Coturnix japonica: one gene and its partner. The protein of the gene in region 1 binds, or shares a complex with, the protein of each later gene. Links are inferred from orthologs where the notes say so. Each region holds a gene or a part of one and is shown on either strand. Other genes may lie near its edges.

The links.
Region 2: NUP205 (region 1) and CETN3 share a complex: the UniProt entries of both Homo sapiens proteins name them as parts of the nuclear pore complex. The link is inferred for Coturnix japonica from reciprocal best matches to the Homo sapiens genes NUP205 and CETN3.

Annotation. Positions count from the first base shown.
Region 1 is NC_029516.1:43,453,658-43,457,475, reverse strand, and holds part of NUP205 (nuclear pore complex protein Nup205), read left to right. Parts: intron 1-486; coding exon 487-537; intron 538-982; coding exon 983-1,192; intron 1,193-1,978; coding exon 1,979-2,078; intron 2,079-2,986; coding exon 2,987-3,124; intron 3,125-3,392; coding exon 3,393-3,582; intron 3,583-3,818. UniProt on the Homo sapiens protein: Plays a role in the nuclear pore complex (NPC) assembly and/or maintenance. May anchor NUP62 and other nucleoporins, but not NUP153 and TPR, to the NPC.
Region 2 is NC_029547.1:53,318,010-53,321,927, forward strand, and holds the start of CETN3 (centrin-3), read left to right. Parts: upstream 1-1,409; 5' UTR 1,410-1,520; coding exon 1,521-1,537; intron 1,538-3,212; coding exon 3,213-3,348; intron 3,349-3,918. UniProt on the Homo sapiens protein: Plays a fundamental role in microtubule-organizing center structure and function. As a component of the TREX-2 complex, involved in the export of mRNAs to the cytoplasm through the nuclear pores.

The DNA of each region.
Region 1 (3,818 bases):
TGTTTGAAAGAGCTTGAGGCATTCTGAGCTATGACTACTGACTTACTGTTAATTGATAATTAACAGGCACCGACAGTGATGACATTGTATAGTGGTAGTATTCTAAATGCTCACCACCTCTGCTTCCTAATTTATTACATTTCCTAAAATATACTGCTGAAAAAGATAATAAGGGAAATGTCTTCCATGACCAATATCAGAAGAAAATTAATAACATAATAAAACTTCTTTTTTTTAAAAAAATAAGCATGATGCAAATCTTTGGGGATGTAAAGAAAAGTGTGTGTACAGTGTTTAATTCAGTCTTTCAGAGAAAGAAATTTTAGCTTTTTGGCTTTTAAGAGGATATAGAAAACTTCTTACAGCTACAAAGTGATGAGTACCTTTTGGTACTGTTAGGAATGATGGGCAAATGCTTTGATGATATGAAGCATATTGTTTATCTGTTTTCTTTTCTCTGTTGTTTTCACTGTCTCTGCTGTGAAGATATTACAGACTGTGAGAACTCCAGGCCAGAGACAAGCGATTGGTATTGAGGTAAGGGTTTCTTTGTCCCTAGGCAGACTATCTCATCTTCTGCATATGAGTGCAGGGTAAATTTTGGGGATTGTTATGCTTTCTGAAAATGTTATAAATTTATGAATCTAGTGCAGCATTGTGCTAGTAACAGAACTGTGTCTGAACCTTCAAGTTCCTTATTGGCACTCATCTTACAATTTTCCTATTTTCCTACATTTGAGTCATTTTTGTTATATTGATACAATTCAGTACTGTTTTAATAAAATGGTAATTAAAAGCTAAGTGCAAAGTATTGTTGCTTCACTGCTTTTGCTTTGTTTGTGATGTTCTGTGGACAATAGTGCAGTGAAGTCAATTCACTGAAAATAGTTTTACAGATGTTGTCTTTATCTTATTTGTTCTCGAGTTTTTCTTTCTCACTCAAAACCTTTGGTTTTCTGTTTTTTGCTGTCCTCTTGGGTAGGTTGAACTGAATGAGATTGAATCCAGATGTGAGGAGTATCCTTTAACCCGTGCCTTCTGTCGACTCATCAGCACTCTCGTAGAGAGTTCATTCCCCTCAAACTTGGGGGCCGGTCTCCGCCCACCAGGCTTTGATCCCTATCTTCAGTTCCTGAGGGACTCCGTGTTTCTTCGGTTCCGGACCAGAGCTTACCGAAGAGCTGCTGAAAAAGTAATGTTTATTTTAAATTATTTTTTTAATTTAGTTTTTAGGATACAATGGTATATACCTAATTTTAGATGATTTGAGATTGCTTATGAAGCTTAAATCTGTTTGAAAAGCTGTCTTATGTGCAAGCTCAATCCAGCAGGGGTAACTTGGGGTGGCGAACCTGGCAATGTCAATAATCCATTGCTGAAAATGGACCTTCAGCTACTTAAAAGAGCAGGCTGCTCATAAAGGAATAATTTTTATTTCTAGACATAGTTAGGTTATGTGTTCTGTGATAAAAATTATTTGAACCAATTGGCTAATGACTTCTGAACATCACGTTCTGAAATCTGAAAGTCACTTTTGTCCTTTCCTCTTTTTTAATTCAGAGAATGTTTCTTTCTCCCTGAAGCAAGGAGTTGGAATTTCCTTTTGGATGAGCACACATGCTACACTGCATTCTCAAAGCTGTTAAGGAACTGTTACTAGCTGCTGTATACCTGTAGTCTGTTTATTACTTGTAGTTTTTAATGCATTAACATGTGTTATAAAGGAGAGAGGACAAAAGAGACAATATGTCTGTTTTAGTGTTCCATTTTACTTCAAAAAAGGAAGCTTGGCAGTTTAAATTATTTGTTGTGATGGATTCAAGTGTTATGGGATAGTACTTTAGAATGAGACAGTCATGCTGTGCATCTGATCAACTGTCTCACTGCATTTTGTTGTATTATTTGCATTCTGGTCTTGTTGCTGCAGCATTAGTCATATTCTGTGTATGAATTTTCTTTATTTTGTGACTATCTACAGTGGGAAGTGGCTGAAGTGGTACTAGAGGTATTTTACAAATTGCTACGGGACTATGAACCTCAGCTTGAAGACTTCGTGGACCAGTATGTGGAATTACAAGGTTAACTTGTTCATTCACTTATATTTGTTCGCTGACAAACTGAACAGTAACTTTGTTTGCTCTCTTGCCTCTATCTTGTGGTCTTGTTAGTACAGCAAATAAGCCGGCAAAAAGATAGGTCAGGGCAATAAGAAAAGAAGACATTAAAAAATGTCCACCTAATACAGGGAATTATACTCCTGATTCAGAAGACCTTAGTGTAAATTATTTCCAGTGCCTGTGGCTCTGCCAGGAGGGTGACTTATATTTCTCTTGGATTCCTCTGGATTTGTTTCTTTTGGTCTTTATTTAAATCACAACTACACATAGGATTAACTTAAAAGTTTACTTTTAACCTAAAGCTTAATTTAAATTTTGCTTTTATTTTATTGAGGAACTTGGTGTTTCAGGCCAGCAGTTTTCTTATTTTGTTGCAGCAGATAAGCAAGGATCTTAGACTGTAAGAATCAGTAGTTCAATGTACCCTTCTCAACACTGTTTTCTGGAAATGTTTTTTTCCTTATGTTGGATATTTTTGAAGGTTTTGGGAGATGTAAAGTTTTTTCTCAGTTACTTTTCAGTCTCACAGAACCATTTAACATAGCTCCAATCTAGTATAAAGTCCTGTTGTTTATCAGAATTCAAGGGAAATCAGCTCAGGGAGAGTCTAACCAGTTAAAGTTGAAAACCAGCCATTAGATACTGAAGAACAGTGGTAATTGGCATTACTGCTCTTTCCAAACTTTCTAAGCTACCTAAATGGCTTGTCTGTAAAGTAAAGCTCTGAAGACTTTGGATGCAGTAAGTTACTTACATCTGCTGCTTGCAACAAAACAGGGTCTGCTCTGTTTTCTAAGACTAGTTTGAGTAATAGAAGCTTTTTCTATTTTGTGGTGTTTTTTTTTTTTGTTTTTTTCTTCTGCCTTTAGGAGATGAAATAATAGCATACAAACCACCTGGGTTCAATTTGATGTATCATCTATTGAATGAGTCCCCAATGCTGGAACTCTCTCTGAGTTTGCTGGAGGAAGGGGTTAAGCAGCTGGATACTTATGCCCCATTTCCAGGTATGTGCCTAGAATTTATTTTCCATGTAAAGTCGAAGTGCATACTACCTAGGAACTAAAGCTGATGTTGTGTAACTTCAACTTGATTTTGCTTCTCTTCCATATAGAAATTGTGTTTTGTGGGGAATTTTCCTAGTAATAAATAACTGATGGAATTCTTTCTTTGTACAACACTTGGTGAATTATGTTTATGAATGTGGCCTATGTCAGGCCTATGTAACTGCTCCTTTCTTTCTCTTGTTGTTGTTTGTTTGTTTGTGCACTGCAGGGAAGAAGCATTTAGAGAAAGCAGTGGAGTATTGCCTTGCACTTCTAAACTTAACCCTACAGAAAGAAAATCTTTTTATGGATCTGTTACGGGAAAGCCATCTTTCCCTAATTGTCACACAACTGGAGCAGCTGCTTCAGGGAATCAATCCCCGCACCAAAAAGGCCGATCATGTAGTGAATATCGCTAGGTATGTTCAGAGTACTGAGAAGGGAGGAGTTTTGTAGGCATGGAAGTCACTGGATCCCTATCCTTCCATTTTACCGGCTAGTGGTGCTTCTCAAGATTGGAATCTGACCTTATTTATTTTTTTTTTTCCTCAGAATTTCTTTCAGTTTGCCTTCTATGCAGTGGTTCCCTGGCATGAAATTTTCAATTTGACGCATACTTTGTATGGATGTCATAGAGCGGGAGAAAACCAAAAGC
Region 2 (3,918 bases), on another chromosome or scaffold:
TGCTTCCAGCAGGCTTTTGGCAATACCTGGTATAGTGTTCACAGATAGGCCCTACACATAGACAGACAGAAGAATGGTTAGTGCTGCTGTCTCACATCTGCTGTGTGATCTCACTCAAGACCAGTAACCTTTCCTAGCTCCAGGGTCTGTCTGATGGGTCTATAGTTCCCTGGATCCTCCTTACAACCCTTCTTGTAGATCAGAGTCATAGGTGTATTTTTCTTGTCCGTGGAACACATAAATACTTGACAGCTGGCTTTAGGCAACCAGTAAGCTTCCTGGCAGCCAGAAAAATGAGAGATGAGCTACACATCTTGCTCCAATTTATAGGAGGAAGGAGAGGTACTTTGACATATGTATACCTGGCGTGAGATTAAGAAACAATGGTTCAAATGTTGGTCCAACCAGTTTATTATAAGTCCTAGAAATGGGATGGGAGAAAGCCAGGAAGCTCCACAGCAAGCGGGGGGTGGTTCTTCCAAAGAGGTCTTCCCCTCAGGGAATTCTCCATCAAAGGTGTCTTTGGGGGTTTGTCTCCAAAGTCCCCAGTTTAGTGAGGGCCTTTTATCCACTATTTCTGTGGTGTTTTTTTTTTTTTTGTTTGTTTGTTTTTTCTTTTTTTTTTTTCTTTTTTTCTTTTCTCTCAGTCAGTGTGACATTCCTGACCCAACAGATAAGACAGCAGGGGGTGGTATGTTTGTTGTCATGCACAAGCATTATCGCCTTTTGCAGTGGTCAGCTCTTTCATGCTGCACCCCTGAAAGAGACTGCTTGTCCCACTTCTGCTTATCTTTACAATCATAAGCAGAGGTACAGTGGCATGGTGACACCCACCATTCATCCCCCTAGAGATAATTAGCAGTTGTCAGTTAAGAGTCTTATCACCAGAAAGGCCTCACAGAGCAAGCTTTGAAACAAAGAGAAACAGTTCTGTCTTTCACATATGACTATTAGGCACCTACAGGTACCTAATCACATTCCGTGCTGCTAGATCAGATCATTATCCAATTCTTACACTTGAAATAAGTATCAGAATACTTCATACGTAGTCTTTGATGTGTTTTTTAATAAGACTTGCGCTGACTGATAAGTGCTGACTTTCAGAAGCTGTTCCCATACACTGACTGTGCACAACCATGTCACTGCTGACGTTTCTCAAGGGTGACACAGGACACATCCTACCAGAGCCAACCCTCAGCCTGCAAAGGGCGGCAGCTTCAGCGCTGCCCTGCGTGTGGAGAAACACGCCATATCCACGCTCACTCCCAAGATGGCGCCGCCGTCACCGCACTGACGGCCTCCACAGTAAGCCCCGCCCCTCCCACAGCGACACAACTTAAGCTGACCCACACGGAACGCTCCCTTCTACTTGAGTGGCAGCGCGATAACCTATGAACGCGTCGAGAAGGCGGGAGCAGATCTGGCTGATAACCAATCAGACGGTGAAATGAGGCGGGGGGGGCGTGGCTTGTCGTTTCCACGGGGAAGTCGGCGCGTTGGGACGCGGCAGTGGCGGTAGTATGAGCTTGTCCTTGAGGTACGTGTGCGACCGGCCAGCAGGTCGGGCTGCGGGGCGGCACAGTGGTGGGGAGGAGGTGTTCCTACGGGGCGGCCGGGCCTCGTCACCGCCGTGTTTGTGTCGGCGTTAATCTGCATTCAGAGCTGTAAGTAGATTCCTCTCGGCTGTCCGCGTCCCAGCTGCTGGTCCGGCACAGTCGTGTGGGGCCTTCCCGAAGCGGCGGCCGGGGCACGGTGAGGTAACAGAGCCGGCATGTGCTTCTCGTGTCTATCTCTGGAGTCTGCCCGGTGCCGGTCATTGGTTGGTGACAGATAAATCTCAGCTGCGTGGTTAATCTCCGATGTCAATTAGAATTAGATAATCTTCAGTGAGGGGGAAGAAAAAAGAGCTGGTTACGGGGTGTGGGGAGTAAGCACCTTTGGAAAGCAGTTCTCCGTTCACACATAAGTGACTACCATGCACTGTGCAGTAAGTGGTACTACATGTGTTTTGTCAGTGCTGCAGGTAAGTGAATATAAAGGGTTTCCTGAGATCATTTTGAATTGCACAGCAGCCTAGGTTTGGAAGATATTGTGAAAGTTATCTTGTCCAGCTCTGCTCAGAGGTGGAGGTTGAGGGCCTTTCCCAACACTACTAACAGCTGAGATCCTGTGATCTCCCAGTGGAGCTATTCTGCTGCATAACCACTTGCACTGTGGCAGTGGTAGACCTTCTAGGTCTGCTACCACCTTCTGCTTTTACTGCTTGTAGCTGACTCTTGTTGCTATGCATCTCTGATGGGGACTTGCCTGTCTGCCTTGTCTAATCCTCTAGACAGTGCCTTAGCCTTCCCACACAGGGTCCTTTTGCCAACACACCTGGATTGAAACAAACGCATCTCCTTCAGCTCCTCCTTAACCAGATGCTGCAGCCACCTAGGTACTGATCACAGTCCCCTTTATTTTAGCCATCTTCTCTGCATCTGTTGTACTGGGGCACCCCAATTCAATGCAGTACTTTGGGTGCAGGTGCACAACTGCAGAATGGTAGGATTTAGCACCAAAGGAGCTGTGCTCATTGCTGCAGGTTTGTTGTGCTGTTGATTGCAGACCTTTATGTCTGCATATCCCAAGAGTGTGCTTTCAGCCTTTTTAGGGGACTTGACTGTTTTGTATGTATGAGCAACAGAGCAAAAACGTATCTGGTTTATTATGTATATGATAATATTTTTAAAAATCCATAAATATTTGGCATCAATGAAACTCTACTGGCAAAAAATCCAAAGATTTATGGCACTTAACACTCACTTCAGCAGCTGGACTAAATGCCTAACTAAAGCTCTAGCTGTCTCCTAAAACTTTCTAGTTTCACTACAGTTTAGAAATAAGGTGTCTTCTAGAGTTGTACCATGTCAGCTGCAGTCTATCTTGTAACTGCAACCTCAAGTATTCTTTTTAACTGGTAGATTTTTCTAATTTTGATTGATTGATTGTTTATTAACTAGATCACCTCTGCTGGGCAGAGGAGTAGAGAAGCCATTCAACCTGTGCAAAGGAATTGCCTGTTTCAGGTATTACTTCAAACTGGGAGATCAAGTTGGGAAGAAGCTGAATGGGGATGGCAATGAACTTGTGCTATTATTATTATTATTGGTGGGAAAATGGTGTCTTTCCAGTATTAATCAGTTGTATTGAATTTCCCTCTTGTCATGTAGGAGTGAGCTTTCAGCAGACAAAACTAAAAAGAAGAAGAGAAGAGAACTGACTGAGGAACAGAAACAAGAAATTAAAGATGCCTTCGAGTTGTTTGATACAGACAAAGATAGAGCAATAAATTACCATGAGTTGAAGGTATTTTTATTTATTCAGAATTTAAATATCTTTGGGGCAGGTATTATACATCTGAATGAATTTTTAAGTTATCAACTCTATCTTGAAAAATGCTAAATGGTCAAGATGTCCTGCAAGGCTGAAGTGGGGATATTTGAATAATTGCTGATGTGTATTGATGTAAGACTCATCTACGTCTTACACTTGCCACAGTAGTAGAGTTGCTATAGCATACTGTGTAGCAGATCTTACTGCTCCCTAGAGTTTAGCTTGGGCAGATGAGTAAGCTGGAGAAGCTCTGCTTGGTTTTTCTGAAGACACTGTATAATCTAAAACTTGATGCTGTTAAAATCCAAGTGTCTCAAATGCTTAGATAAAAGATATGTCAAGTTTATAAAACATGACTAGAAGCTGGAGTTTACCCACTTGCATTTTTTTCAGCAGGGAGCGTGTATACCAATGATGTTGTCTGCTATATTTATGTGTTGCTCTGTAGTTTCCTTTCCCAATGCTGGCCTCTCCTGTTAACATCTATCAGCAAATGGAGATTAGGATGGCAGCATTTTCTAGTGGGTGCTCCTGTTTGGCAGT